3 linked regions of the Macaca fascicularis genome follow. The main gene of each other region encodes a partner of the protein of the gene in region 3 in a complex. Links are inferred from orthologs where the notes say so. Each region holds a gene or a part of one and is shown on either strand. Other genes may lie near its edges.

The links.
Region 1: CASC3 (region 3) and MAGOH share a complex: the UniProt entries of both Homo sapiens proteins name them as parts of the mRNA splicing-dependent exon junction complex. The link is inferred for Macaca fascicularis from reciprocal best matches to the Homo sapiens genes CASC3 and MAGOH.
Region 2: CASC3 (region 3) and UPF3B share a complex: the UniProt entries of both Homo sapiens proteins name them as parts of the mRNA splicing-dependent exon junction complex. The link is inferred for Macaca fascicularis from reciprocal best matches to the Homo sapiens genes CASC3 and UPF3B.

Annotation. Positions count from the first base shown.
Region 1 is NC_088375.1:181,431,449-181,441,832, reverse strand, and holds the start of MAGOH (protein mago nashi homolog), read right to left. Parts: upstream 6,279-10,384; 5' UTR 6,209-6,278; coding exon 6,121-6,208; intron 3,103-6,120; coding exon 3,044-3,102; intron 1,171-3,043; coding exon 1,060-1,170; intron 1-1,059. UniProt on the Homo sapiens protein: Required for pre-mRNA splicing as component of the spliceosome. Plays a redundant role with MAGOHB as core component of the exon junction complex (EJC) and in the nonsense-mediated decay (NMD) pathway.
Region 2 is NC_088395.1:126,201,892-126,212,275, forward strand, and holds the start of UPF3B (regulator of nonsense transcripts 3B), read right to left. Parts: upstream 4,960-10,384; 5' UTR 4,883-4,959; coding exon 4,727-4,882; intron 3,826-4,726; coding exon 3,719-3,825; intron 3,542-3,718; coding exon 3,435-3,541; intron 1-3,434. UniProt on the Homo sapiens protein: Involved in nonsense-mediated decay (NMD) of mRNAs containing premature stop codons by associating with the nuclear exon junction complex (EJC) and serving as link between the EJC core and NMD machinery.
Region 3 is NC_088390.1:61,214,127-61,224,510, reverse strand, and holds the start of CASC3 (protein CASC3), read right to left. Parts: upstream 5,575-10,384; 5' UTR 5,550-5,574; coding exon 5,319-5,549; intron 4,877-5,318; coding exon 4,849-4,876; intron 4,521-4,848; coding exon 4,483-4,520; intron 1-4,482. UniProt on the Homo sapiens protein: Required for pre-mRNA splicing as component of the spliceosome. Core component of the splicing-dependent multiprotein exon junction complex (EJC) deposited at splice junctions on mRNAs.

The sequences.
Region 1 (10,384 bases), on a different chromosome or scaffold from region 3:
CTAGTAAGGTTTGAACACCATGACAGACTGGAAGCATGGTAAAAGATAAGGTGGGAGTTTAAATTTTAAGTACAGTGGGAAGCCATTGGAGTTTAAATCAGTGGAATACATAAGCAAATTTACATTTTTAAAGATCACACTGGTCAGGCGCGGCAGCTCACGCCTGTAATCACAGCACTTTGGGAGGGCAAGGTGGGCGGATCACCTGAGGTCAGGAGTTCAAGACCAGCCTGGCCAACATGGTGAAACCCTATCTCTACTAAAAATACAAAAATTAGCTGGGCATGGTGGTGTGTGCCTGTAATCCCAGCTACTCGGGAGGCTGAGGCAGGAGAATCACTTGAACCCAGGAGGTGGAGGTTGCAGTGAGCTGAGATCATGCCACTGCACTCCAGTCTGGGCGACAGAGCGAGACTCCGTCTCGAAAAAAAAAAAAAAAAATTACATTGGCTTTCAGGATGGAAAAATGGATGGTATGGAACAAGAGGAAAAACAAGGGAACCTATTAGAAGTCCAGAAGTCTGGATTAGGATGGTAGCAGTCAGAGTGAAAATACCTTTTCTGTTAATTCAGTTCAATATGATAGTGGTTTTTATTTTTTAGTTAACAAAACGGTGCTCGGAATGAATATATAATGTATATAAATACACATGAATTTAAATACATATACTGAATTATTTGTATGATTTTCCTTTCATTAGATTGGTGAAATAATCATGTTCTATTTTTCTTTGTATCTCCACAATGCTTTGTCCATAGTAGTTAGTAAATGAGATAGGCAGCAAAAGCTTTAAGTGGAGGAGGGAGTGTGGGGGGTCCTAAGAAGAAATTCAAGGCTGGGTTCTTGGTGGCCAGCAGCACTTGTTCTCTCTGTTCCTTCCTGTGGGATTAATGCTTCCTTAGACCAAGGTGCTGGCAATCTGCTTTCTGCAGGGCTGACCACCACCACCACCACCACCATCACACACACATGCACACAGTTTCACTATCATATGCAGAGCACTAAACCTCATCTTATTTGTAAGATTTCTGCACTACAGGATAATCAATAAAACATACCTGCCGGCCCACTCGGTCAGGAGGAGGCCACAATGCATCATCCTCTTTGGTAATTTCACTGTCATCGATTATTCTCTTCAGTTCCTCCATCACGCTTTTATGTACATAAGCCTGAAAGCAAGTTAAAAGACAAAATGTATGTTGTATCCTTAAGCAGTGCTTTGACTTAGATAGTGATGGAAGATAAAAATAACTGTTCCTGCAGACTTATTTCTGGCATCTTCTTAAGTGGGAAGACATTCATGCTCAACCTCGGCATGATGCAGGTGAGGGACAGGGTCAGAAGTATCTAATAAACTGCACCTCAGTCCCCCATCTAGCTGTTACTACCTCCTGGTACATCCTGTTTACATGGCCCTTCTGCCTGTCCACACAGCCAACTCACAAAGAAACCCAAAATAGATCTGTGAATGCCCCCTGCTATGGTTTGAATTTTTGTGTCTCCTCCAAAATTCATGTTGAAATTAATCCCCAATGCAACGGTGTTAATCAATAGGGCCTTTAAGAGTTGATTGGGCCTTGAGGGCAGAGCCCCCATGGATAGGATTAGTGCCTTAGGAGACAGCTTAAGAGAACTAGCTGGCCCCTTGCTTGTTCTTTCACCATATGAGAACACTGCATTCATCCCTTCTGGAGGATGCAAAAACAAGGCACAGTTGTGGAAGCAGAGACTGGGCCCTCACTAATCACTGAACCTGCCAGTGCCTTGATCTTGGACTTCCCAACCTCCAAAACTGTGAGAAATATATTTTTATGGCTTAAAAATTACCCAGTCTCAGGTATTCTGTTATAGCAAAACAAAAGAGACAGCAACACCTACATGCCCTGGTTTATTTTTTTTTGAGACGGAGTCTCACTCTGTGGCCCAGGCTGGGGTGCAGTGGTGCAATCTCGACTCACTGCACGCTCTGCCTCCTGAATAGCTGGGACTACAGGCACCCACCACCACGGCTATATTTTTTTGTATTTTCAGTACAGACGGGGTTTCACCGTGTTAGCCAGGATGGTCTCGATCTCCTGACCTCGTGATCCACCCACCTTGGCCTCCCAAAGTGCTGGGATTACAGGCGTGAGCCACCGCGCCCGGCCAGTTATTCTTAACTAGGTAATACGCTCCTGAGGAGCAAAATGTATTTGAAAAGATATGCCTGTGTAAAAAAATAGTGAGAATGTTGACATGTGTGAATAAGCATGAAACTGATAGCTAAAACAACAGTATGAAAAATATATGCTAAGACATTTTCAAAGGTGGCAGAGTGGTTAAAAGAGTAGCTTTGATGAAGCCTTAATGATGTAGTAGAAATCACAGAGAGGAGAATACAAACTTTACTGGGGAATTCCTTTAATTGGGAATTCCTGCTGTATCTCTTACTAGCAGGGGTAACTCTGAACAAGTCTCATAATTAATATCTGGGCCTTTATTTTCTTATTTGTAAGGGGGCTATAATACCCTCCCCCATCACATGGGCTTATAATCAGGGTTAAATAAGATGCCATGCCTGACATCTAACATGCATTCAATGATATCAACTGCTTTCCCATGCTCCCTTTCCCACTCAGATGCAAATTAAATAGCTCTCCATTGTGTACTATGTGCCAGGGAATATATAGAGCACTTTAAGTATAACACATTTAATTTTATGACAGCACTTGGGAGTGGGAGGTAGCTTTTATTTTCCCTGTTTTTGCAGGTGAAGAAACAGAGATTTAATCAAGTTCAGCCAGGAACTTGCCCACTGTCACATGAGGTAGTAAGCAGCAGACTCAGGGTTCAAACCAAGGTATGTCAATGGTTACCAGTAATTGATTCCACATTGTAAAATAAAAAAATCCCAACTAAAAGATGATTTGGGAAATAATCCAGAAGCTGTCTACAGACATGTGTCTCTCTCCCTGTTCTTTACCTTTCAATACTAGATACAACAAAAACAATGCAAGACAAAAAGCTGAAATGTAGAAAATGAAGGCCTCTCAGAAGGCATACCTCTTTTCTGATCATGACATCATTCTTGTAATTGCTGTTGTTGGCATATCTTAACTTCCCTGTGGGGACAAAAGCCAAATTCAACATATAATAAAAACATGAATAAAGCATCAATACCATACCAAGACTATCGGCAGTTGCCTAAAATGTATCCAACTTGCTCAAAGTGTCTAAGACATTTATTATTTACTCTTAAGGTAGTTCAACAATACTAGTCTTTCAGTTCTTCACTTCAGGCTTAAACAGCCAAATATACAGCTGACACTCAACTACTGCAAAAAGCAGCTCAGGTGAGGTAAAAACACAGGCAGGCTCTTTTCTGACTTTGTCGAATCACATTTTTGCAGGTGAATGTCCTGAAAACAGGCAGAGTAAATGATAACTTACCAGCACATAGGACCTCCTGAGGCTCAAATGAGTTGTGAAAACATTTTGAAAACTGTAGGATGCTGTTTACATATATTATCATGTGACTGTGCCACACTCTATTTCTGTGATGGAAAAGTTGTTGCTTTTATCACTGAGCACATTTGGTACACAAGACCCTTTGTCCATGTGTGCGTCTAACAGGTTAATGTGAATACATGGTGGGGATGAGGAGAAGATAGAAGGAAACAGAAGACATGTAGACTAGAAGACATACATGTGAGATGAGCCCAGTGAATTTATTCCAACAGTCTCTGTGCTGTCTCTCTGCCTCAAGTTTCTTCACATTCAGTTCACTGTCCATATAGTGGACAAGGTGATGTGGTAACAGATCTATCAGATTAGGTTACTCTAATACTTTGATAAAGTCAATGGCTTTCCGCTGCCTTCCTGGTTAAAATCCGGCCGGGCGCGGTGGCTCACGCCTGTAATCCCAGCACTTTGGGAGGCCGAGGCGGGCAGATCACGAGGTCAGGAGATCGAGACCATCCTGGCTAACACGGTGAAACCCCGTCTCTACTAAAAATGTAAAAAATTAGCCAGGCGTGGTGGCGGGCGCCTGTAGTCCCAGCTACCTAGGAGGCTGAGGCAGGAGAATAGCGTGAACCCGGGAGGCGGAGCTTGTAGTGAACCCAGATCGCGCCACTGCACTCCAGCCTGGGCAACTGAGCAAGACTCCATCTCAAAAAAAAAAAAAAAAAATCCAAACTCCTCAACATGGCATACGGCTAAGCAAAGCCCCTGCCTGCTTTTCCAGCCTCACTCCTGCAATATTCTTCTCTCACACAGCTGGAGTCGAACAACTTGGTTTCTGCCTGAAACATCCCAAGCACTTTTTGGTTTTCAGCCTCTTTGCATGCTGTCTAAAATGCCTTCTTGACTCTTCTTGGTCTCCTAATCAATACCTCACATCCCCTCCTCCCATCATTTTATGTAGGAAGCCTCCTCTGACCCTCAGGCTTGGCTAGGTGCCCCTTCTCTGCTGCAAGTCTCCTCTGTTTCTTTTTACCACAACACCTAATACGCTGTTTGGTCCCTGCTTACAAATCCATCTCCCTCACAGTCGGGGCCTGTCAGATACATCTTTGTGGCCCGCTTAATGGATGTTTTCTGTCATCTTTGATTCCTCTTTCCTTCACCACAGTGCCTCCGCCAAAAAAATCCTATCAACGATCAAAGTCCAGTTGATTCTGCCTCCAACAGTTTCCTAAATCTTTCTCTCCATTTCTACTATCTCTGTAGTCCCAACCGACATCTTTTTTTTTTTTTTTTTTGTGACACAGTCTCGCTCTGTCACCCAGACTGGAGTACACTGGCACTATCTCAGCTCACTGCAACCTCCGCCCCAGGTTCAAGCGATTATCCTGTCTCAGCCTCCCGAACAGCTGGGATTACAGGCATCTGCCACCACGTCCGGCTAATTTTTGTATTTTTAGTAGAGGCGGGGTTTCACCATGTTGGCCAGGCTGGTCTCGAACTCCTAACCTCAAGTTATCCGCACACCTCGGCCTCCCAAAGTCCTGGGATTACAGGCGTGAGCCACTGCGACTGGCCCCCAACATCTTTCTTGTCTTGACAACAGTCTCCTAATCAATAGCCCTGTTTTCACTGTTGCCCATTCCGCACCCAATAACCAGAATGCTTTTTCAAGAACAGATCACATTTCTTCTCTGCTTAAAACCTTCCAAGCCCGGCCAGGCGCGGTGGCTCACGCCTGTAATCGCAGCACTTTGGGACACCGAGGCCGGCGGATCGCCCGAGGTCAGAAGTTCGAGACCAGCCTGGCCAACCTGGTGAAACCCTGTCTCTACTAAAAATACAAAATTAGCCGGGCGTGGTGGTGGGTGTCTGTAATACCAGCTACTCGGGAGGCTGAGGCAGGAGAATCGCTTTAACTCGGGAGGCGGAGGTTGCAATGATCCGAAATCGCGCCATAGCATTACAGCCTGGGCAAAAAGAGCGAAACCCGTCTCAAAAAAAAAAATAAATAAAATTAAAAAAGCCTTCCAAGTCCAAACTCTTTACCCTGGTCTATAAAGATCTACAAGGTGCGGCTCCTACTACCTATCCGACATCATCTCCTGCCATCTCCCAGCTCACCACTCTTCAATCACACTGACCACCTGAGACATGCCTAAGCTCATTCCCGCCCTGCAGCCTTGACTTCTGGTATTCCCTTTGGGTAGAATGGTCTTCCTTGTGAGCTTCACAAGGCTGGGTCCTTCTTGCTAATTAGGGCTCAGCTGCAATATACCATTAGAGCTCTCTAATGGCCAACCTATCTAAAAGCAGCCCATCCAGCGATTCTACCATATTTTCTGACCACTCACTGCTATCCGGAATCATCTTTTTATGATCTCTCTCCCAGCAGTAAAACACAAGTTCCACGAGAGAGGAAGTTTGTCTATCTTCGCTGTCGTATCCCCAAAGAGTGGAACAGAGCCTGGCACACAGTGGGCGTTCAGCCAACGTTTGTTGTATGGATAAAACGACGCCGTGGAGCAGACACAGTGGCGCTCCTTTCAGATCCGCACTGCACAGGTCTCAGCCCCTTCCTCCTCTAGTTCCCCACAGATTTCCGACCCTCGGCCTCCCCACTCGCCCGCCCCAAGGCCTGGTCCCGCTCCGGGCGGGCGGCAGGCTGCTTTTACCATCCGGTCGGAACTCAAACTCCAGGAACTCGTGGCCGAATTTGCCCTTGTGCCCCACGTAGTAACGCAGATAAAAGTCACTCTCCATGGCTCCCAAAAGACAACCGAGCCTGAACTTCCAACAGCAAGCCGCACTGCTGCGGTCTGCGCCCGACACTGACGTTTGCGGCGGCGCGCGGAAGTGACGTCAGATTACGCCGTCGCGTAATGGAGGGGTTCCTTCTAGCTAACCTATTCGCCCGGAAGTGACAACAAGACTGCCACACCCTCTCACGCCTAGGAGGTAACGAACTTTGTTTAACCCGGAGGCGGGGCCAACCAGCTCCGCTTCTCCACTTGGACGCGGGAGCGAGGTTGAGGTTGGTACCCGCTGGGTTCTCTCCCGGCCTGAGGCCGAGAGCCAGCCGCCTGCCTACCTCTGGGCTTTGAACGCGGGGTCTGGTGACTTCGCTTAAAGATCTCGGACCGAACACCCCGAGCCTTGCCCCCGCCAGGCTCAACCTCAGTTCACAGGACCCCCGACTTGTGTGAGTCGTACACCGCTCTTTACCGTCTCTGGACCTAGGTCATCTCGGCAGTAAAATGGGGTGAAATGACCCGACCTTCCCGGAGGATGCCGCGCACGATGTGTGTGCCTCAAGATGGCTTCCGTTGACCTGAACTGTTAAGAAAGCCCTCCTCAGTGACGCCTTCCCTGAATCCACAGTGGAGATTGCCGTTTCCCTGGAACTAGTTCACCCACACTTACCCATTTCGTCCTTTTCCACCTTTTATTTCTATCTTTCTGCCCCACTGATCTCTAGAATAGGTGCTGTGAGAAGTTAGAGTATTTGATCTCCCACTCCCCAGTCATCCCACTTACCGAGCAGTGATTCTCAGCCTGGCTGCACATTGGAATTACCTGGGGAGCCTCTAAAAATACTGATGCCAGGGCTCTACCCCAAGCCAATTAAAATCTCCAGCGCTGGAACTGGGCATTGGTACTCTTTGTAAAGCTCTCAGTTGAGGACCACTGACCAAAGAGACTCTTTTCAGAGCAAAGTTGTCCTCTGTGAAGCCATTCTGGCTCTGGAAAAAATTTACAGTTGAGTAGGGCCAGAGCAATCAAGATCATAATTATTTAATAGGAGCCTGCTCTCACTCGTCTAAGTTCCACACTTAGAGAGAATGAATGGTTCTAGAGACAGTGCTGAGATGACATCATTCTTGGGGCCTGGCAACTAGAACAGTATAAGATTCTGTAAGTCGGGACAGCAGTCTCTGATTCCTACCCCCAGTCTTTTTTTTTTTTTTTGAGACAGAGTTTTGCTCTTGTTGCCCAGGCTAGAGTGCAACGGCTGGTTCTCAGTTCACCGCAACCTCCACCTCCTGGGTTCAAGTGATTCTCCTGCCTTAGCCTCCCAAGTAGCTGAGATTACAGGCACGTGCCACCACATCCAGCTAATTTTTGTATTTTTAGTAGAGACAGGGTTTCACCATGTTGGCCAGGCTGGTCTCAAACTCCCGACCTCAGGCGATCCATCCGCCTCAGCCTTCCAAAGTGCTGGGATTACAGGCATGAGCCACCGTGCATGGCCCCCAGTCTTAACAATGAGTCCTTTTCTCCCTGAAAAAGCATTAGCAGCAGAGTGTAGAGTAGGTGTGGTGGGGGAAAAAAACCATTGGACACTGGTTAAAATAATCTTTTGTTTTAACAATGACTCATTGTAACCAAAGGTGAACTGACTCAACTTTTTAGACTTCAGAGTTTCCTTCTCTTTAAAATGAGCATAAAAACGTACACCTAGCAGAACTGTTATAAGAAACAATGTCTCGGAAACTGTAAATTGCTATAAAACCATGACATTTTTATTACAAAACACCGCATATTGGTAGTAACAAGGGAACTGTATAAAAGAGAAGGGGGCTAGACACAGTGGCTCACACTTGTAATCCCAGCAGTTTGGGAGGCTGAGGCAGAAGGATCACTTGAGCCCAGAAGTTTGAGACCAGCTTGGGTAACATAGAGAGACTTTGTCTCTACAAAAAATTTAAAAATTAGGTAGGTGTGGTGGTGCACACCTGTAGTCCCAACTACTTGGGAGGCTGAGGTAGGAGGATAATTTGAGCCTGGGAGGTCAAGGCTGCAGCGAACCATGATCATACCACTACACTCCAGCCTGGGTGACGAAGCAAGACCCTATCTAAAAAAAAAAAAAAAAAAAAAAAAAAAAAAAAAAAAGAGAAAAGGGAACCATCAAGCACCTAATAAATGTCAGCTCCTAGGCTGAATGGGATTACCTGTGCTTGTTTTTCGAATCATCACAACAATTTTGAGGTGGTAATTAGAGTTAAGTGTGTAGAGGGATTAAGCAATTGCTACAAGGTTATTTTCCAGGAGTAAAATTATAAAAATCATAAGTGAATCTGGGGATCTTCAGATGTGGCAAATAACAAAAGTGTTGAGAAATTTAAAGGACACACAACTCCAGTCAGGCTGTAAAGTAATCCAGGTTTCTGGATATGAGACGTGGTGTAACTGAAAGAGCATGGTCTGTGTGTGTCTGCCGTGCCTGCATTCAGCATCATTTATTGAGCATCCACTGAGTGTCATGTGCAGAGAGAGAGGATACAATGTTGGGCAAGACAGTTCTTTACAGAGCTTGCAGAGGAGGAAGTTAAGGAGCATACAAGCAATTACAATGTAAGGATAAGATTTCCAGTAAAGGAAGCACAGAGTACTATGGAAGCACATGAGGTGACTCCTAATACAGTGTAGGGTCCTTAGGGAAATGTTCCTGAAGGAAATGTTCCAGACAGAGGCCCAGAACTGTGTGATTAGAATATAGAGCAGTGAGTGATGAGGCTGGAGATGGGGCAGAAGCTGAATCATGAAGGGCTTTATAAACCATATTAAAAGAGTTTGGGCACACCCAAGAATATTGAATTTTAGTGCCAGCAAAGCAGTTGAAGGGCTTTAAACAGGAAAGTGGAAATAAGTGGTGGTGATACATCTATGGCACTTTAGAAAGACACTTTGGCTGCAGTGTTGTGGGTTAGATTGGAAAATGAAAAGACTAGACGTATGACATTCAGATAAGTAGTTAAAGTAATCTATTAGCTGGGCAGGGTGGCATGCGCCTGTAGCCCCAGCTACTCAGGAGGCTGAGACAGGATAATTGCTTGAACCCAAGAGGCGGAGGTTGCAGTGAGCTGAGATCATGCCGTTGTACTCCAGCCTGGGCAACAGAGAAAGAGACCTTGTCAAAAAAAGAAAAAAAGAAAAAAAAAAAAAAAGGCAAGCAAAATAATTATCCAGGCATTGTGGCATGTGCCTGTAGTCCCAGCTACTCAGGAGGCTGAGGCAGGAGGATTGCTTTAAGCCCAGGAGTTTAAGGTTGCAGTGAGCTATGATCCTACCACTGTACTCCAGCCTGGGTAACAGAGTGCGACCCTGTCTCTTTAAAAAAAAAAAAAAAAAAAAAGTAAAGGAGATAGAAAAGTGGATGGATTTGAAGTGGAATACCATAATTTAAAGGGTGGGCAAAGGAGACGAAGATGTGGCCAGAGAGATAGGAGAAAAACCACGAATATGGTATCATGGAAGCCAAAATAAGAGTATTCCAAGAAAAGAGTGGCTAACAGTGTTAACTACTGCTTCCAGGTCAAGAAAGATCAAGACTGAAAATGTTTACCAGATTTATAATCGAGGAGGTCCTGGATGACCTTGGCAAAAGCAACCCCAATGGCATAGGAATGAATGGTAGGGCAGAAGTATTGGGATGCAAGTAGGCAAAAATTGTTATAGAGGTACTGAGGTGAGTTATCTAACCTAGTCTTAGAGAGAAGGGAAGGCTTCCTGGAGGAGGCATTACCTAAGTGGAGTACTCAAGAACAAATAGGAATTAGTCATATAGAGGCAGAGAGGGAAAATTTAGGCAGAGAATGCTACGTTACAATTGATCTTAGGGGGCACTAAAAATAACCTTGTGACTTTGGGCAGTTACTTCACCCATTTTCTCATCTATAAAATGGGAGTGGATAGTATTGATAGTATTTACCTCACCGAATTGTTGACAAAGATTGAGATAATGTATGTAGAATACTGGTACACATTAGGGACTCAGTTCACTCCCGCTCATTAAAGTATTACAATGAAACAATACTTAAAGATTTTTTAAAAATGAATTTAATCTCTCTCTAGAAACAGTGCACTGATTTTACAAATGTCCACATTTGGTTTTCAGTTTACCAAGATTATGTTAGTACAGCTAGTGAGATGCAG
Region 2 (10,384 bases), on a different chromosome or scaffold from region 3:
TGAAACCCCGTCTCTACTAAAAATACAAAAAAAAAAAAAAGAAAGAAAATTAGCCGGGCGTGGTGGCGAGTGCCTGTAGTCCCAGCTACACGGGAGGCTGAGGCAGGAGAATGGCGTGAACCCGGGGGGCGGAGCTTGCAGGGAGCCGAGATCGTGCCACTGCACTCCAGCCTGGGCTACAGAGCGAGACTCCGTTAAAAAAAAAAAAAAGCAGAAGGAATGAGATAATGACATGTTATATGTTACAACATGGATGGACCTTGAAAACATCGTGCTAGGTAAAAAAAGCCAGTCAGAAAAGACCACATATTGTATGATTACATTTATATGAAATGGAGGGAAATCATAGATATATAAAGTAGATTAGTGGTTGCCAGGGGCTGGAGGGAGAGAATGGGAGGTAACTACTAATAGATATGGGTTTCTTTTTGGAGGGATGAAAACATTCTGGAATTAGTACTGATGGTTGTACTACTTTGTGAATATACCAGAAACCACTGAATTGTACGCTTTAAGAGGATAAATTTTACTATAGGTGAGTTATATTTCAATACAAAACCCTCAAGTGACTAATGGGAAAAAAATTCACAAGCACCCTGTCACAGAATGTCAAAAACAAGGTATCCTATCCTTAAATCACTGGCATATAGACATAAGAAAAAAAATAAAAATAAATAGAATTGACCAGAAGGCACTGCAAAGCAGTCATAAAGGAAAAATTATGTTGGGAATCCCAGTGAGTACAGAATCAGATTAGCTTCAAAACTGTGATATATTAGGCCAGGCATGGTGGCTCATGCCTGTAATTCCAGCACTTTGGGAGGCTGAGGCGAGTGGATTGCTTGAGGCCAGGAGTTCGAGACCAGCCTGGTCAACATGGTAAAACCCCATCCCTACTAAAATTACAAAAATTAGCTGGGCGTGGTGGCACATACCTGTAATCCCAGCTAAGTCGACAGGTTGAGGAACGAGAATTGCTTGAACCCAGGAGGTGGAGGTTGTAATGAGCCAAGATTGTGCCACTGTACTCTAGCCTGGGTGACAGAGTAATGGTCTGTCTCAAAAAAAAAAAAAAAAAAAAAAAAAAAAAAGAAAAGAAAAAAGGAAAGAAAATGATAAAAACAAAAATACAAACCAAAAACCAAAATATATTTGAGAAGGAATAGATAAACCAGACTGAAACAGAGGGAAATTGTGGAAGACAGGCTGAAGAAACAGAAGTGAGGCCAGAATATGGAGGACCCTGACTACCAGGCTAAGGAGTTTGGACTTTTTTCCCCCAACCGTTAGTTTAAATCATTATTTTCAAAAAGATTAATTTCATGGCAATATAATAGACTGAATTATACAAGAATGGGAAAAATGGAAAATCCTGTAAGTTTAGAGACAGTGGTTGTCTAGACATTAAATGATGAGAACATAAAGTGTGACTGAAAGTCTAGGTGAACAAGATATTAAAAAAACAATAAAATCCAGCCTGGGCAATATAAGTAGACCTTGTCTTTAAGATTTAAAAACAAAACAAAACAAACGAACAAACAAAAACCACAATGGGGAAAGGATAGTCTCTTTAATAAGTGGTGTTGGGCTCGGTACGGTGGCCTGCACCTGTAATCCCAGCACTTTGGGAGGCTGAGGTGGGGGGATCACTTGAACCCAGGAGTTCAAGACCAGCCTGGGTAACATAGCAAGACCCCAGCTCTATAAAAAAATTTAAAGCAAATTAGCCAGGCATGGTGACACGCGTCTGTAGTCCCAGCTACTCAGGAGGCTGAGGTGGGAGGGTTGCTTGAGTCCAGGAATTCCAGGCTGCAGTGGGCTATGATTGCGGCACAGCACTCCAACCTGGGTGGAGACCCTGTCTCAAAAGATAAACAATAAATTGACAAGATTCATAACTTACATGTAAGAGATTTTAAAAAAGGAAAAAATTAAACACAACTCAGATTTCCAGGCTAAGTAACTAGAATCTAGTTAAATATCTACTGGAATAAAATAGTTGGAGTGGAAAAATAGCTGGCTTGGGGAGATTAATAAAAGTTGGATAAACACTGGCAATCCTTCAATTTTTACTGGCATAGTCCCTGACAAAAATTTAATTTTTACCAACTTTGAAGGAATATTGAAAAAAACAAAACTAAACAAGAAGACACACTATTTACCTATAATTGCAAACCAAAAAGAAAAGTGGCAAATGGCAGCTTAGACATTCTCTGGCTAAATGTTGTAGGTAGCATATAATAGAGTGTTAAAGCAGAAATGTGTCTTGCCTATAGACTGGACCTTTCTAGATATAAAGTAAGAGAAGTATCAAGGTTTTTTTTGTTTTTGTTTTTGTTTTTTTTTGAGACAGAGTCTGGCTCTGTCGCCAGGCTGGAGTGCAGTGGCGTGATCTCGGCTCACTGCAACCTCTGCCTCCCGGGTTCAAGCGATTCTTCTGCCTCAGCCTCCTGAGTAGCTGGGATTACAGGCGCCGCATTTGGCTAATTTTTTTTAGTATTTTTAGTAGAGACGGGGTTTCACCATGTTGGCCAGGCTGGTCTCGATCTCCTGACCTCGTGATCCACTTGCCTCGGCATCCCAAAGTGCTGGGATTACAGGATTACAGGCGAGAGCCACGCACCGGGCCGAGATGTATCAAGTTTTTTTTTTTTTTTTTGGAACGGAGTCTTGCTCTGTCGCCCAGGCTGGAGTGCAGTGGTGCGATCTCCGCTCACTGCAAGCTCCGCCTCCTGGGTTCACGCCATTCTCCTGCCTCAGCCTCCCGAGTAGCTGGGACTACAGGCACCCGCCACCATGCCCGGCTAATTTCTTGTATTTTTAGTAGAGACGGGGTTTCACTGTGTTAGCCAGGATGGTCTCGATTTCCTGACCTCGTGATCTGCCCGCCTCGGCCTCCCAAAGTGCTGGGATTACAGGCGTGAGCCACCGTGCTCGGCCAATGTATCAAGTTTCATGTTTTAATTATATACAACTTTGTGAGAATGTTCAACAGTATCCCAACTGGGAACTGTTGGCTTAATGGATTTGAATTAAATAAATGTTTGTCTTTGAAGCAAAATAAGAAGTAAATATTTAAAACTTATCAAACAAGTTTAAGAGTCACTTATCAGTACTGCAGCTGAAACTCTATAGTCAAAACAGCAGGTTTAAGCCAGGGCAAAAAATTTGTCACACGAGGAGAAAACAGTTGCAATTTCACTCAGTTGATCAAATTAAAAAAATAGTAAGTTAATAAAAGTAACCAAGGACTGTGAAAAGTCACATGTCTATTTATAAGACTGCAACAAGCTTATCAAATGTGTAAAACTCTTTACTTAAATGTTGCACATTTTATCACCCAGGAAGCAACGCAATGCACACACTGTCTTAAACATACAAATGACAAAGAATGACAAAGAAATTCCCTTTTTATTTCAGTTACCAGAACTCACCTTTATTGTCAAGGAATACATAACCATCAAAGCGATCCCTGAACAAAATAATGTCCTCTTGGTTTTTAAAGTTGATGTATGCTCTGGCATACATATGAGGATACAAACTGCAGAGAGGAAAGCAATTATGTAAATGTATTTGCAGGTGTCTGGCCCAATTACAAGTATGCATATATTAAAGACAAGCTCAAAAATTAAATGGAAAACAGTAGGATAAAAAGAGTGAAAGAAACCTTTTTCATTTACCCCTTTCCTTTTTTTTTTTTTTTTTTTTTTTTTTTTACCTCGTATCATTAGAAAAAAACTCAAAATAATCATGCTCAGGCATAGGTTGAAGATGTTCCTGAAGCTGCTCCTTGGTCAAAGTGGGAGGTAATCTTCGAATTACCACCTTAAGAAATGCATAAGGAAAATAAAATTAGTAAAAATCAATTTTCTCTCATACCTGAAAGAATCACAGTTCCTGAAGAAGACTGGGCTTTTTAAAATATGAGATCACTTGTAAAAACCCAGGAGAAAATATTCTGCAGCCCAATGCTCAGAAGTAGTCAAAGATAATAGTAACGCGGTTTTAAAAAAAAAACGCTTGGAAATGAGAACCACCTGGAGCAGGGAAAAATCTCAGGTTTTGCTCTTTACAGCAGCCCTGCAGTTTACCAGGTTTGTGCATCATTTTCGATCACCCATTTTTTAACAGATCTAGTGGCAAGAAATTAGTAAGCCAACCCTGGTCTTTGTGGGTGCCACGAAATCTTGATTTAGTAACAAGTTTCTCCCACGTCCAACACATCTTAAAACAAAATCCTTGCCCATTGAACTTAAGAATTCAAAACTCTAACGAATACAAAAAATCCACCCATTGCTCTCAAAATAGGATGCTCTCGATCTACCCTCCCGTACCATTAATCACCCTGAACTCTCCCCCAACTCGCCTCCATGAATAATATTCCCATCCCTGATGTCTCCTTCAGTATTTAATATTTCTCCCCAATTACACCTTTAGTTCCTCATTCTTTATACCGTCGCTCTCTCTTCCCATTATCACCTCACAGCTCTGACCTAAACCCTTCCCGTTTGGGGAGTCCCCCCTTTTCCTCACCCCTACCCAGGATTTGGCCGGGAGGGGCTCTCCCCATTTCGGGAGAAAGGATAAACCAGGATGGTGCGACTTCCATTCAGGCGAAGAGAAGAAGGGGAACCTGAGAGAGAAAGGGGCCGGCCCCATTCCCAGCCATCCTCCCCGCGCTGCGGACCCGTCCCGCCCTCTCCCGGGCCAGCGGCCGACCGGGCACCTTGCTCAGCGCTTCTTTCTTCTCCTTGTTGCGATCCTGCTTATCTTCCCCCTTGGAGCTGTCCCCCGAGGTCCCACCACCGCTGCCTGTGGCCCCGGCGGGGGTTAACAAGGTTACTCGCTTCTCCTTAGGCCTGTGCTCCTTCTCTTCCTTCATGGCTACGTCCCCCGCTGAAGCGGCTCGGCCGGAACGGGGCTACCCCGGTCACCAACGGCTCCAGGGAAGCTCCCGTCAAAGCTCCGCCCCCAACAAATGCCCCTTATGATAAGTCGGGCCCCACGTTCCACTGGGGCCTGCCAAGCTCTCGCGAGACTTGGGCCTTTCCCAGTGCAAAGGTTTTAACACCTGGTTTTTACTTCCCGCCCGCCAAGTTCCTGTGCCACCCAATCCCCTCGCGGCGCAGACTCCCTCTGGGCCCGCCCCTTCGCGCGTCATTAGCAACTCCGCCATCTTGAAGTGACTCTGTCGGGGACTACAAGTCCCGGCATGCAAAGCAGCTGCCCGCTTTTGTTGGGCGTTCAGGAGCCAGAGGTATCTCAGGGTCCCTGTTTGTAAGTAAATCGAATCCTTTCATCTTCAGAGTTTTTCAGGTCGAAAGATACGTTCTGCACGCTTAGTTTCCATCGGATAAACTCAATGCCGTCCAAATTTTGCCTCACTAGGGGAGCGACTTGTATATTTTGTCTTTGAATTCAGAGGCTTTAGAATTTATTTTCCTACAACTCAAAGAAAGAGCCTAACATTAAAAAAAATTTATTTTCCTTATATTGATTAGGATTTACAGATACTTAGTAAACACTACAATATTAGCCGAGTTCAGTGGCGCGCGCCTGTATTCCCAGCTGCTAGGGAAGGCTGAGAAGGGAGGATCTTGAGCCCAGGAATTCGAGGCTGCAGTGAGCCATGATCGCGCCACTGCACTCCAGCTTGGGCGACAGAGCGAGACCCTGTATCTAAAAAAGAAGGATAATAATAAATAAACACAAGATACTGATATTTAAAGGAGTAATATGACCAAAATATACGAGATTTGTTTTCATCACCTTATTTTACAAAAGGATCATTCTCCCCAGGTACTGATGTCCCACAGGGAAGGGAATAAAAATAAAACCCAATTTGATTTAGTTGTGATCACCCTCTTCACTTAAAAAGGGCCAATTTTACATTATTTATAATAACTCCAAACTGGAAACAATCCAAATGTTCTCAATAGGCAAAGGGATAAAACAAAATATGGTACAGCCATAGAATGAAATGCCACTCAGCAATAAAAATTAACTATTGATATACGCATCAACATAAGTGAATCTCACAGTGATTATGTTGAGTGACAGAATCCAGACACCAAGAGAGTACATGTTGTACAATTCCATTTATATGAAATTTTAGAAAAGGTAAAACCACAATGATAGAAAGCACTTCAGTCGGCCGGACGTGGTGGCTCACGCCTATAATCCCAGCAATTTAGGAGGCCAAGGCGGATGGATCACCTGAAGTCAGGAGTTCGAGACCAGCCTGGCTAACTTGGCGAAACCCCGTCTCTACTAAAAACACAAAAAATTAGCTGGGCGTGGTGGCTCATGCCTGTAATCCCAGCACTTTGGGAGGCCGAGGCAGGCAGATCACCTGAGATCAGGAGTTCAAGACCAGCCTGACCAACTTGGTGAAACCCTGTCTCTACTAAAATACAAAAATTAGCTGGGCATGGTGGCGGGCGCCTGTAGTCCCAGCTATTTGGGAGGCTGAATCAGGAGAGTCACTTGAACCTGGGAGGCGGAGATTGCAGTGAGCCGAGGTAGAACCACTGGACTCCAACCTGGGTGACAGAGTGAGACTCCATCTCAAAAAAAAAAGAGAGAGAGAGAGAGACAGACAGACACCCATAGAGGACAAAAACCAAAGTAAAGATGCAATAGGAGCCCAAGGCAGAAAGCTGCCTCAGGGCCAACTCCCATTTTTGCTGACCTCTAGAATATATTCCCCTGACTCTGCACTTAAATTTTTTCACTCTAAATGTCCAGCCTATTTTTGGATTCCTATTCCTGTGGCCAAAACTGTTTCCCTGTATTTGGGATCTGTTACTCTTTCTTTCAGTACCTGGCCATTCTTATGAGCCTTGGAAATCATCAGAGTCATGTATCCAACTGCCTATTTAACATCTCCACTTAAGACGTCTAACGTGTTCAGCCACTGAATGCATCCAAAACCGAACACTTGATCTTCCCCCACACCAACTGTATTAGCTTCCTATTCCTGCTGTAACATTACCACAAATTTAGTGGGTTTAAATAATGCAAGTGTATTATCTTACAGTTCTGTAGGTTAAAAGTCCAACAAGGTTTTAAGTTTGTCCTGTGAGGGGGCAAAAAATATAGTAAGGCTGAGCGCGGTGGCTCACACCTGTAATCCCAGCACTTTGGGAGGCCGAGGTGGGGGATCACGAGGTCAGGAGATCAAGACCATCCTGGCTAACACAGTGAAACCCCGTCTCTACGAGAAATACAAAAAATTAGCCAGGCGTGGTGGTGGGCACCTGTAGTCCCAGCTACTCGGGAGGCTGAGGCAGGAGAATGGCGTGAATCCAGGAAGTGGAGCTTGCAGTGAGATTGCACCACTGCACTCCAACCTGGGTGACAGAGCAAAACTCCATCTCAAAAAAAAAAAAAAAAAGTAAAAATAAATAAATAAATAAATAAATAAATAAATAAGCAGTCCAATATGGGTCTCACTAGGCTAAAATCAAAGTGTTGGCAGGACTGAGTTCCTTCCTGGAGGCTCTAGGAGATAATTGATTTCCTTGTCTTTTTCAGACTCTTGAGGCAGCCCGTATTTCTTGGCTTGTGAACCCTTTGTCTTCAAAGCCAGCAGCATAGCGTCTCTCTTTGACCCTGCCCCTACTTCTGTCTATTGTCTGTATCTCTTTTACTCTCTGCCTTGCCATTCCAAGTTTTGTTTTGTTTTTTCAGGGTCACAGCTCACTGAAGCCTTAAACTCCTGAGCTGAAGTGATCCTCCTGCCTTAGCCTCCCAAATAGCTGGGACTACAGGTGCATGCCATCATGCCCAGCTAATTTATTTTTATTTTTGTAGAGAAAGGGTCTCACTGTGTTGCCCAGGCTGGTCTCCAACTCCCGGCCTCCCCACTTTCCCCTTTCACTTTTAAGGACTCCTGTGTTTACATTGTGTCCACCTGTAAAATCCAGGATAATCTCCCTATTTTAAGGACAGCTGATTAGCAACCTTAATTTCCTTTTGCTGTATAACCTAACATAGTCTTGGGTTCTGGGGATTAGGATGTGTACAACTTTGGAGGAGATATTATTCTGCCTAACACATACTGTAGACTTCCTTTTTAATGAAACTTTTAATTGCAGTATAACACGTGTACAGACAAGTGCACTAAAAGTATCCAGCTTGCTGAATTTTCACAAAGTGAACACACTTATGTAACCAGCATGCAGATCAAGAAACAAAACATTGCCAGCACTCCAGATGCTCTCTTCCTGCTTGTTCCCAGTCATTTTCACCACCAAGAATATCACTATCCATTTTGCTTTTTCTTTTTTAGCAGCTACATCCTTCTATGAATGACTTCTAATACTATTGAGTTTGTCTGCTTTGAACTTTACGTAAACTGAATCATACAGCATGTATTCTTTTATGTTAGTCTCCTTTCTCTCAACATTTATGAATGAGATTTATGTATTTATTTATTTAGAGACGGAATCTTGCTCTATCACCCAGGCTGAAGTGCAGTGGCACCATCTTGGCTTACATCTTGACTCACTGCAACCTCCACCTCCCGGGTTCAAGCAATTCTTCTGCCTCAGCCTCCCCAGTAGCTGGGACTACAGGCATGTGCCACCACACCTGGCTAATTTTTGTATTTTCAGTAGAGACGGGGTTTCACCATATTGACTGTTGGATACAGGGAGTTCTAGATTTCTCTTCAAAGAATCGGTATGTCAGTATGTTCAGTTCTTTGTCTTCCATTGTAAAGTTTAACTTCCTCGTAGTTTCAGTAAACAACCTTTTCCACCAGTTTTAATCAGTAGTTCACATCTGTTCCCCTGATCACCTGCTCGGTCCTGACTCACCCTGGTCATCTGCTTTGACCTGAGTCACCCCTGGTCACTTGCTCTGACCTAAGCCACCTTTAGTTACCTGTTCCTAACCGTCCTTCCCGCCAAACTACTTACCCCGCCACTCTGTCTCATACCCCTGCTCTCTTTAAAGTAGCCAATCGGAATTAGCTTAGATTGTGCAGTCCAACCCTAGCCAATAGGGGAACGACACAGCAGTAGGGGCTACCTGTGTCAGGAATAAGAACCCCTTCCCCTCCCTTGTTCAGGTGAGCTCTTGCCGTTACTCCATTCACGAGTTGCACCCTTCTATAGAAGTAAAAATTGTCTTGCTGAGAAAATTAAATTTATGTTTAATTTAAATTAAAAAAAAAGTGCTGTTTCTTTGTGGCACCGAGGAACAAGCATTTTGTTTCTAACATTGGCCAAGCTGGTCTTGAACTCCTGACCTTGTGATCCACCTGCCTCGGCCTCCCGAAGTGCTGGGATTACAGGTGTGAGCCACCACGCCCAACTCATTTATGTTATATGTAGCTGTGGATTATTCCTTTTCACTGTTACATATTATTCCATTGTATGAGTCTACTACAATTTATTCCACTCTTAGGGGCTAATACTCATAGTGCTACTGGGAACATTTTAGAACATATTGTTTGGTGATTCATGTCAGATACATACCTAGGAGTGGAATTGCTGGATCACAGAGTAAGCATATGCTCAACTTTAGTAGATACTACCATAGAGTTTTCCAACAGGGTTGTACCAATTTACACTTATCAGCAGTGTGTGAGATTGCTTCATACTCTTCCCAACATCTGGTATTGTCTGGTAGGTGTGTAGGGGTAGCTTATTGTAGTTTCACTTTGCATTTCTCTGATTAAGTTGAGCACCTTTTCATACATTTTTTCACTGTGTGCCTTTCTATTCTTTTGGTAATTGCACCATGTTATTGTATTATTTATTCCAGAGCAAAAGAAACAAAACAAAACAGGGATGGTGATATGGCTCCTTTCCACCAAGTAAGGGGCAGAGCAAGAGTGTGTGCGTGCGTGTGTGTGAGAGAGAGGGAGAAAGAGAGCTGTCCCTAAAGTTCCTCGCACCACTGATTCTCTTAGGGGCTCCAAGTTTCCTCTTCCCACTTCCGATGATGAGCAGTATCATGTTTGGGACCCCACTTTAGAAAAACAGAAGGAGGCTCTGCCTGTAATCCCAACACTTTGAGAGACTGAGGTGGGAGGATTACTTGAGCCCAGGAGTTCGAAATCAGCCTGGGTAACATGGCGAAACCCATCTCCACAAAAAATGAGCCGAGTGTGGTGGCACACACCTGTGGTCTCAGCTACTCAGGAGGCTGAGGCGGGAGGATAGCTTGAGCCCGGGGGTTAGGCTGCAGTGAGCTGTGATCGCGCCACTGCACTCCAACCTGGGCGACAGAACAATACCCTGTCGCAAAACAAAACAAAAACAAAAACCCAGAAAGAAAATATCTATACACAAATGGAAGAACCTTACTTTAAAACATCTTCCCTGCCCTGCATTGAACAGGCTACTTTTAATAAATTGTCTTGCCCCTTTTT
Region 3 (10,384 bases):
CCAAACGCTATTTTCTCTATCTGGGCTTTCTCTCTTTTTAAAAAAAATTTTGGGCCAGGCGCAGTAGCTCATGCCTGTAATCCCAGCACTTTGGAAGGCCCAGGTGGATGGATCACGAGGTCAAGAGATGGAGACCATCCTAGCCAACATGATGGAACCCTATCTCTGCTAAAAATACAAAAATTAGCTGAGTGTGGTGGTGCACACCTGTAGTCCCAGCTACTCGGGACGCTGAGGCAGGAGAATCACTTGAACCCGGGAGGCGGAGGCTCCAGTGAGCCAAGATTGTACCATTGCACTCCAGCCTGGCTACAGAGCGAGACTCCATCTAAAAAGAAAAAGAAAAAAAAAAAAATTGGGGGGCATGGTGACTCATGCCTGTAATCCCAGCACCTTGGGAGGCCAAGGCGGGTGGGTCACCTGAGGTCAGGAGTTCGAGACCAGCCTGACTAACATGGTGAAACCCCGTCTCTCCTAAAAACACAAAAATCAGGCAGGCGTGGTGGCATGCACCTATAATCCCAGCTACTTGGGAGACTGAGGCAGAAGAATGGCTTGAACCTGGGAGGCAGAGGTTGCAGTGAGCTGAGATCAAGCCATTGCACTCCAGTCTGGGCAAGAGAGTGACACTGTCTCAAAAAAGAAAAAAAAATTAGGCCGGGCGCGGTGGCTCAAGCCTGTAATCCCAGCACTTTGGGAGGCCGAGACGGGCGGATCACGAGGTCAGAAGATCGAGACCATCCTGGCTAACACGGTGAAACCCCGTCTCTACTAAAAAATACAAAAAACTAGCCGGGCGAGGTGGCGGGCGCCTATAGTCCCAGCTACTCGGGAGGCTGAGACAGGAGAATGGCGTAAACCCGAGAGGCGGAGCTTGCAGTGAGCCGAGATCGCAGCCACTGCACTCCAGCCTGGGTGACAGAGCCAGACTCCGTCTCAAAAAAAAAAAAAAAAAAAGAAAAAAAAATTAATTTTTTTTGGCTGGGCATGCCGGCTCATGCTTATAATCTCAGCACTCTGGGAGGTCAAGGTAGGAGGACTGTTTGAAGCCAGCAATTGGGGGCTGTAGTGAGCTGTGATCCCACAACTGCACTCCAGCCTGGGTGACTGGGCAACAGAGTGATACCCTGCCTCTTCTTAAAAAAAAAAAAAAAAAAAAAAAGAGGGCTGGGCACAGTGGCTCACACCTATAATCCTGGTACTTTGGGAAGATGATGCGGGCAGATCACCTGAGGTCGAGTTCATGACCAGCCTGGCCAACATGGTGAAACCCCGTCTCTACTACAAATACAAAAGTTAGCCGGGTGTGGTGGCGTGCACCTGTAATCCCAGCTACTCAGGAGGCTGAGCCAGGAAAATTGCTTGAACCTGTGAGGCGGAGGTTGCAGTGAGCCAAGATCACGCCACTGCACTCCTGTCTGGGTTACAGAGCAAGACTCCATCTCAAACAAAAAAAGAAAAGAAAGTTTTTAATTTTTGTGAATACATAGAAGGTATATATATTTATGCAGTACATGAGATTTTTTTTTTTGAGACAGAGTTTCGCTCTTGTTGCCCAGGCTGGAGCACAATGGCACGATCTTAGCTCACTGCAACCTCCACCTCTTGGGTTCAAGTAATTCTCCTGCCTCAGTCTCCTGGGTCACTGGGATTACAGGCGCCAGCTACCACGCCTAGCTAATTTTTCTTTTTTTTGTTGTTTTTTTTTTTTTTTGAGACGGAGTCTCACTCTGTGCCCCAGGCTGGAGTGCAGCGGCGCGACCTCGGCTCACTGCAAGCTCCGCCCCCCGGGTTCACGCCATTCTCCTGCCTCAGCCTCCCAAGTAGCTGGGACTACAGGCGCCCGCCACCACGCCCGACTAGTTTTTTGTATTTTTTTAGTAGAGACGGGGTTTCACGGTGTTAGCCAGGATGGTCTCGATCTCCTGACCTTGTGATCCGCCTGCCTCGGCCTCCCAAAGTGCTGGGATTACAGGCTTGAGCCACCGCAACCGGCGCTAATTTTTCTTTTCAGTAGAGACAGGGTTTTGCCACGTTGGCCAGGCTGGTCTTGAACTCCTGACCGCAGCTGATCCACCCGACTCGGCCTCCCAAAGTGCTGGGATTACAGGTGTGAGCCACTGCGCCCGGCCCATGAGATATTTTTATATAGCTATACAATGTGTAATAATCATGTTAAGGGTAAATGGGGTACGGATCACTTCAAGCACTTATCCTTTGTTACAAACAATTCAATTACATTCTTTTATTGACACTTATTTTTTTTTTTGAGATGGAGTCTTGCCCTGTCACCAGCCTGGAGCACAGTGGCGTGATCTCGGCTCACTGCAACCTCTGCCTCCCAGATTCAAGCAATTCTCCTGCCTCAGCCTCCTGAGTAGCTGGGACCATAGGCGCGCGCCACCACACCCCGGCTAATTTTTGTATTTTTGGTAGAGACAGGATTTCACCATGTTGGCCAGGGTGGTCTCGATCTCTTGACTTCGTGATCCACCCACCTTGGCCTCCCAAAGTGCTGGGATTACAGGCTTGAGCCACCACGCCCAGCCAATAGTTATTTTTAAATATACAATAAGTTACTGTTGACTGTAGTCACCATGTTGCAAATATGAAATTCTAGATCTTAGTCATTCTTATTTTTTAAATTTTTTTGAGACAGAGTCTTGCTCTGTTGCCCGGGCTGGATTACAGTGGTGTTGATTATGGCTCCCTGCCACCTCCACTTCCCAGGCTCAAGGGATTCTCCTGCCTCAGCCACTTGAGTAGTTGGAATTACGGGCATGCGTGACCACGACCTGCTAATTTTTGTATTTTTAGTAGAGATGGAGTTTTGCCAAGTTGGCCAGGCTGGTCTTGACCTCCTGGCCTCAAGTGACTGGCCCACCTTGGCCTCCCACAGTGCTGGGATTACAGGTGTGAGCCATTGCGCTGGGTTTAGATCTTATTCATCCTAAGTATTATTACTTTTTTGTACCCCTATGGGTTTTTTTTTTTTTTCCAGACGGAGTCTCGCTCTGTCACCCAGGCTGGAGTGCAGTGGTGCGATCTCAGCTCACTGCAAGCTCCGCCTTCCGGGTTCACACCATTCTCTTGCCTCAGCCTCCAGAGTAGGTGGGACTACAAGGCGCCCGCCACCATGCTTGGCTAATTTTTTGTATTTTTAGTAGAGACAGGGTTTCACCGTGTTAGCCAGGATGGTCTCCACCTCCTCACCTTGTGATACGCCCGTCTCGGCCTCCCAAAGTGCTGGGATCACAGGCGTGAGCCACAGTGCCTGGCCTCTTTTTTTTTTTATGTATTTACTTTTTAAGACAGTCTCACTCCGTCACCCACATAGGAGTGCAGTGGCATGATTTCAGCTCACTGCCACCTCCATCTCCTGGGATCAAACAATTTTCGTGTCTCAGCCTCCCAAGTAGCTGGAATTACAGGCATACATCACCATACCCAGCTAATTTTTGTTATTTTTTAGTAGAGATGGGTTTTCACCATGTTGGCCAGGCTGGTCTCAAACTCCTGGTCTCAAGTGATCCGCCTGCCTCAGTCTTCCAAAGTGCTGGGATTACAGGCATGAGCCACTGCTCCCAGCCCCTATGGGCTTTCTTGACTGTTGTTCCCTCTGCCTAGAACACATTCTACCCAGTCAACTCTTAATCTTTCCTGACTGACTAGGATGGATTCAGTGCCCAGCTATAACACCCTACTTAGCCCTATCCCAGCGCTATCCTCTATCAGCAAGTGGTACAATTGCTTGAATGTTTGTCTGACTTCCTTATTAAGTTGTAAGATCTCTAAAGATAGGAATTTTGTTATAGTGTTCACTGTTCCATCTTCAAGGGCTTAACAGATTCTAAAATGTAGTAACGGTTCTAAAAATTTATAGACAAAATCTTTGATCCACTATCCAATTCCCCCTGTATATAATCCCATTAGCAGAACTCAGGACTCCACTCAACAACCCAGAAAACAAACATTTATTCTGATGGCATCTCTAGTAGTTTATCCAAAAGACAGGAAACTCTCCTAGAAACAGAGAAATCCCCACCTATAAAATGATGGATGCTCTTGGCACAAAACATTCAGAATCCTACCCTTTCAAAGTCTTCAGATAGATTTGGAAAAAAAAATCCACGAAAAAAATATCCAACTGGCTGGCTTCTTAACCTCCACTGCATAAAACAAACTGTCAAACATCTTTCAGAGGACTTCAAGATGTACTCATTCTCTTATTTAGAATCTCATATTCTTCAGACAGGAAGAGAAGTCAACTAAAAGTATAACACCTGTGGCTTGAGACGGCATGCCCCAAGTTTTCCCTAGGTCTAAAGAGAACAAGACATTCTGTAACACTTTCTCAGAAGCATAAATGAAGAATACACAAGAGGATAAACACGGAGGTCATGGTACGTTTGCAACGAAGGTGTGTACACTTTCTAAAAGCATTTCTGATCTGTACCATAGGAAAAAACCTGTCATACTCACTTCTGAGTCTTCTGCACTTTCATAATCCGAGAGAACAGCTGAAATAAAACAGAAATATGTGGAAAAACAGAAACCCAGAAACATTTTTTGGCTGCTTATTATAGGTCAGACTAAGAGTCTCATTTAATTCTGACATCAACCTACAACGTGGATAAAATTATAGTCTCCACTTACAGAAGGAAAAACAGACTCAGAGTAACTTGCACAAGACTACACTGCTAAAACCTATGCTCTTAAGCACTATACTACAAAAAGCCACTCTGTGGCCCTAAATCCGTGTGTGAGAATGTCGACAGTTGGAAATAGATTTTCTGAGTTTATGTTAAAAAAAACTCTTGTCCTAATGGGGTAAAAGATGCTACTCACCATCACCTTCAATGCCATCTTCACTCTCCTGAAGGAAAGTAGAAGACATGGGTTAGTTCTGTGATTTCCAGAGGTGGAGAGCCCAATAAAGAAATGTGGGTGAAGAGCTGAAGAATGAGCACAAAATGGTCGGAGAGAGAGACAAGTAGTAGCCAAGGCAGGCCTGGTCTTTAGTAGCCAAGGCAGATCTGGTCTCCTTCCCTCCAGACCCGATTTCTGAATAAACATCCGCTTTCCATCCCCAGCGGCTCTGCCATCCTCCCAGAAACCCCCAATCCTTCTTCCCTTAGAACTCCGGATGCAAACTCGCACTGGGATAACTCCCCTTTTCTCGTAAAAACAACAAAAAAAGTCCCAGTATCTACTATCAACTCCCAGACACCTAGCATCACCTACACCCCGCCCCCGGCCGGCCGGCTCGCCGCCCGGTCCCCACCCCACCCCGCCCCGCCTCGCCTGCGCGCACTCACACACTCCGACTCCTCAGCGCTCTTGGCGCCCCCGCTCTCCACCCGCCGCAAATGAAGGGCCCCGATTCGGCCTCCGCGCTGTGAAGGCAGAGAGCCGCTGCCGCCGCCTCCAGCGCTACCGCTGCAGCTCCCGCCGCCCCGCAACGGGGAGCCGCCGCTGTCTGAGCCCGAAGCACCAGATTCCTCGTCCTCGGTGTCTTGCGAAGCGCGCTGCCGCCGCCGGTCCGCCATTTTACGGAGAACGGCCACCGCCGGCGAGCTACTTACGCACCGCGCCCGTCCCAGAGGCTGCTGGGAGGCTCGCTAGCTAGTCCCGGCGTGCTGCGCGTGCGGCGCTCAGCCATCCCGCTTGGGGTGGGCGGGACACGGGGCGGGGCCTTGGCCTGCGGCAGGTTTGCGGCGGAACCGGATTACGTCTATCGGTGATGTAAGGGGGCGTGGCGCGGCTTCTGACTTCTCTTAGGCAGGCCTAGGGCGAGGGGAATTGAGAATTCAGCTGCTTCCCGGGTTCCTGGCCCGGCCATCTTGGGCTTCCCGAGTGGAAGGCATCGACCTGTCACAGCTTTACTGCAACACTGGGGTTGTTTCATGGTTTTCTGTTTCCGTTTCTCAGTTCTACCTACGTTTGAAGCAGGTCAATTTACTGCATTCCTTTGCTTGGTAATATCACGAATCAAGGTAAATCTTAAAAGCCGTAGTGCTGCGTCAGATTTGCTACACCAGCCCGGTTTTTAAGATAACGAGCGAAGGAGAAACCAATTGTCTGCAGTGAAGCCAGAGGACTTCTTGTTGCAGCGTTTTCTCTGTGTTCTCATTTCCTCTTCACGTTTCTTCCCACCCCAGCCATCACCTGTCCCAAAGTGCAGGCTGGTATGATGCCAGTGTTATCGGTTTGATTTGGTTTGGTTTTGAGGCAGGGTCTCTTGCGCAGGCTGGAGTGCAGTGGCACGATCACGGCTCACTGCAGCTTGACCTCCCGGGCACAGGTGACCTCCCTGCCTCAGCCTCCTTCGTAGCTGGGACAACCGTCACACACTACCACACCCGGCTAATTTTTCTATTTTTTGTAGAGATGGGGGTCTCGCTATTGCTCAGGCTTGTCTCCTGGCTGGGCTCAAGCGATCCTCTCGTCTCAGCCTCCCAAAGTGCTGGGATTACAGGCATGAGCTACTGCCCTTGTGAGGATTTTAAAACCTATTTAAAAATAAATGGTCAGTAGAAACGGATGTTGATTCAAAATCCTGACATTATTTCCTTCTTAAGGTTCATGGAAATTCTTTGATTTTGGCAAGGCGTTTGTCACCAATGAAAAGAATCAATGTATTTTCTTTGTACCATTATAAGGATATACAAAGTGCATGAGCTAAGTTTTTAGTGTACCTACAGGAGTGCACGCTAATAATGTATGTATCAAACAAAGGCCACTATGGCATAGGATTCTTTCCTGAGTAAAAAAAAAAAAAAGTTTTTTTTTTTTGAGACGGAGTCTCTGTCGCCCAGGCTGGAGTGCAGTGGCGCCATCTCGCCTCACTGCAAGCTCCGCCTCCCGGGTTCACGCCATTCTGCCTCAGCCTCCCGAGTAGCTGGGACTACAGGCGCCCGCCACCACGCCCGGCTAATTTTTTGTATTTTTAGTAGAGACGGGGTTTCACCGTGTTAGCCAGGATGGTGTCAATCTCCTGACCTCATGATCCGCCCGCCTCAGCCTCCCAAAGTGCTGGGATTACAGGAGTGAGCCAACACGTGCAGCCTTTCCTGAGTAGAATTTTTATAAATAACATGGTTAAGGATCCTGATGTTTATCAAATTTATAGACAACATGAAACTGGAAGTAATTATGAATGCCTTCAGAGATTAAATGAAAATTCAAGGCCGGTTACGGTGGCTCATACCTGTAATCCCAGCACTTCGGGAGGCCAAGGCGGGCGGATCACGAGGTCAGGAGATCGAGACCATCCTGGCTAACACGGTGAAACCCCGTCTCTACTAAAAAATACAAAAAGCTAGCCGGGCAAGGTGGCGGGCGCCTGTAGTCCCAGGTACTTGGGAGGCTGAGGCAGAGTGGCGTGAACCCGTGAGGCGGAGCTTGCAGTGAGCCGAGGTGGAGCCACTGCACTCCAGCCTGGGTAACAGCGAGACTCCGTCTCAGAAAAAAAATTCAAACAATCTCAGCTAATTAGACAAGTGGCCAAACGTGACGACTTGTAAGTCCAGCTCCAAAAGCCAACTGCCTGAGTTCAAAATGGAGGATATATGATTTAATAAGTGTTAAAGTAAAAGACCTGGAGGATCTTATCGATCATAAGCTAAACTGGTGCAAATAAGGCTGCCAAGTTTAGTGTCTAAATAAGGAAAGTGATAGTCTGCCACTTTGTCCTTCAGTTGTTTGGTCTGGGTCCAATTTAATTTTTTTTTTTTTTTTTTTTTTGAGACAGTCTTGCTCTGTCGCCCAAGCTGGAGTGCAGTGACCAGATCTCAGCTCACTGCAAGCTCTGCCTCCCGGGTTTACGCCATTCTCCTGCCTCAGCCTCCCGAGTCGCTGGGACTACAGGCACCCGCCACTTCGCCCGGCTAGGTTTTTGTATTTTTTAGTAGAGACGGGGTTTCACCGTGTTAGCCAGGATGATCTCGATCTCCTGACCTCGTGATCCGCTCGTCTTGGCCTCCCAAAGTGCTGGGATTAGAGGCTTGAGCCACCACGCCCGGCCTGTTTGTTTTTTTTTTTTTTCCAGACAGAGTCTCGCTCTGTCACCCAGGCTTGAAGTGCTTTGGCGCGACCTCCGCTCACTGCAAGCTCCACCCCCCGGGGTTCATGCCATTCTCCTGCCTCAGCCTCCTGAGTAGCTGGGACTACCAGCGCCCACCCACCACGCCCGGCTAATTTTTTTGTATTTTTAGTAGAGACGGGGTTTCACCGTGTTAGCCAGGATGGTCTCGATCTCCTGACCTCGTGATCCGCCCACCTCGGCCTCACAAAGTGCTGGGATTACAGGCGTGAGCCACCTTGCCCGGCCTCGAGCCACAGCAATCTTTAGGGACTATGAAGAAAAGGAGGGATTGATCTTTTTTTCATTATCCTAGAAGGCAAAGCAAAAACCAATGGGTTTAAGTTACAAGAAGTTAGATTTTTGTCAACAAGCAAGAATTTTCAAACACTTAGGGGGAAAAATGTAATGTAAAAAACAAATTGTTGAAGCAGAAGCTGGAATTTGCTCCTCTGGAATGTTATCAAGGGTAAATCATGTATCGGGGTCACACTAGATGACCTCTAAGGTCTTTCCAACTGTAAGATTTTGTTAACTTAGACACCAGGGACCAAGTATCCTATAATCTCGTTTCTGAAGTTGCTAATTATACTTTTCTTTTTTTGAGTTGGAGTCTCCCTCTGTCACCCAGGCTGGAGTGCAATGGCATGATCTCGGTTCACCACAACCTCTGCCCCTCCTGGGTTCAAGCGATTCTCATGCCTCAGCCTCCCAAGTAGCTGGGATTACAGGTGCCTGCCACCACACCTGGCTAATTTATTGTACTTTTAGTAGAGACAGGGTTTCACCATGTTGGCCAGGCTGGTTTCGAACTTCTGACCTCAGGTGATCTACCCGCCTCAGCCTCCCGAAGTGCTGGGGTTACAAATGTGAGCCACCATGCCCAGCACCCCCCTTTTTTTTTTTTGACCAGTCTTTTTTTTTTTTTTTTTTTTTTTTGAGATGGAGTCTCACTGTCACCCAGGCTGGAGTGTAGCAGGTTGATCTTGGCTTAATTCCACTTCCCAGGTTCAAGAGATTTTCCTGCCTTAGCCTCCCAAGTAACTAGGATAACAGGTGCATGCCACCACACCTGGATAATTTTTGTATTTTTAGTAGATGAGATTTTACCGTGTTTTACTGTTGGCCAGGCTGGTCTTGAACCACTAACCACAAGTGATCTGCCCACCTCAGCCTCCAAAGTGCTGGGATTACAGGCGTGAGCCACTGCACTCAGCCAAGTTGCTGATTATACTTAAGGAAGCACACTAGACAATTGAGAAGGATGAAACATACATTCTACTTATATACAAATGAAAGTGAGTATCTTATATAAAGGGGAAAATAATGTGTTACTCTTTTTTATTGTGGAAATGGATTTCTTTTTCCAATGTTTCAAATATACAAGCAGAATTGTTTAATGTTTGCCAATAAATATAATAAATTGAAGCAGAAGTTCAAAAATTAACAGCCACAATAGTTTATTTACAATTGAACTCTTTATAAGATATTTACAAGACAACCAATTTTACACATCAGAAATGGTATCAAAAGTTATGAATTACAACACAGACAACAATATGAAATGGGCATAAAACAAAGCTGAAGTAGACAGACAAGCAATTTTTTTTTTAATTTATTAACACTAGCTTAAACTTTGTTAAAGAAAAACAAACAACTATGTTTTAGGAGAACTGCAGGGCCTTCAGTTGAAGATTGAATTCACAGTGTTGTATCCCATGTAGGGAAAAATAAGACTAATTTTCCCCCCACACTCTAACACACTGTAATTTTGCACTTGGAACTTTGCTAATCTACTCTCCAACCTCCTTCTCAACAAAGTCAAATCAAAGGAGAATTAACCTAGAAGAGGGGACAATAAAATAAGAGGTCCTCAGGGAGAGGGAGAACCAAGGAAAGAGAATCTACTTAAGTCTGGCCAAATAGCACCTCGTGGATTCTTCTCAGTCTACTTCAAGTCAGAAACTGGGGAGTCCCCTGGGTAGGGCACAAACATAATGGTTAAATTTGCTAACTCATATCCAAAATTAGGAATCTGACACATGCTGAAATCAAGAAGAAACTGAGAGGGATCAAAGAACAAAGTTAAGAGACACTGATTGTGTCTTTCTTCTTTTTGGACACGTTATGAAGAAATATAACATAGGTAAGAGTAAGAAAAATTGAACATCCTGCCACATTAAAATGATGGAGAACAAAGAAAATCTGGCCCAGTTTTTCTAGAAATCTCCTTCTCCTTAAGGTGTGAGATGAGAGCCCCTAGTGGAATTAAGTCCTATTTCTCTCTACATCCTTGCTGCA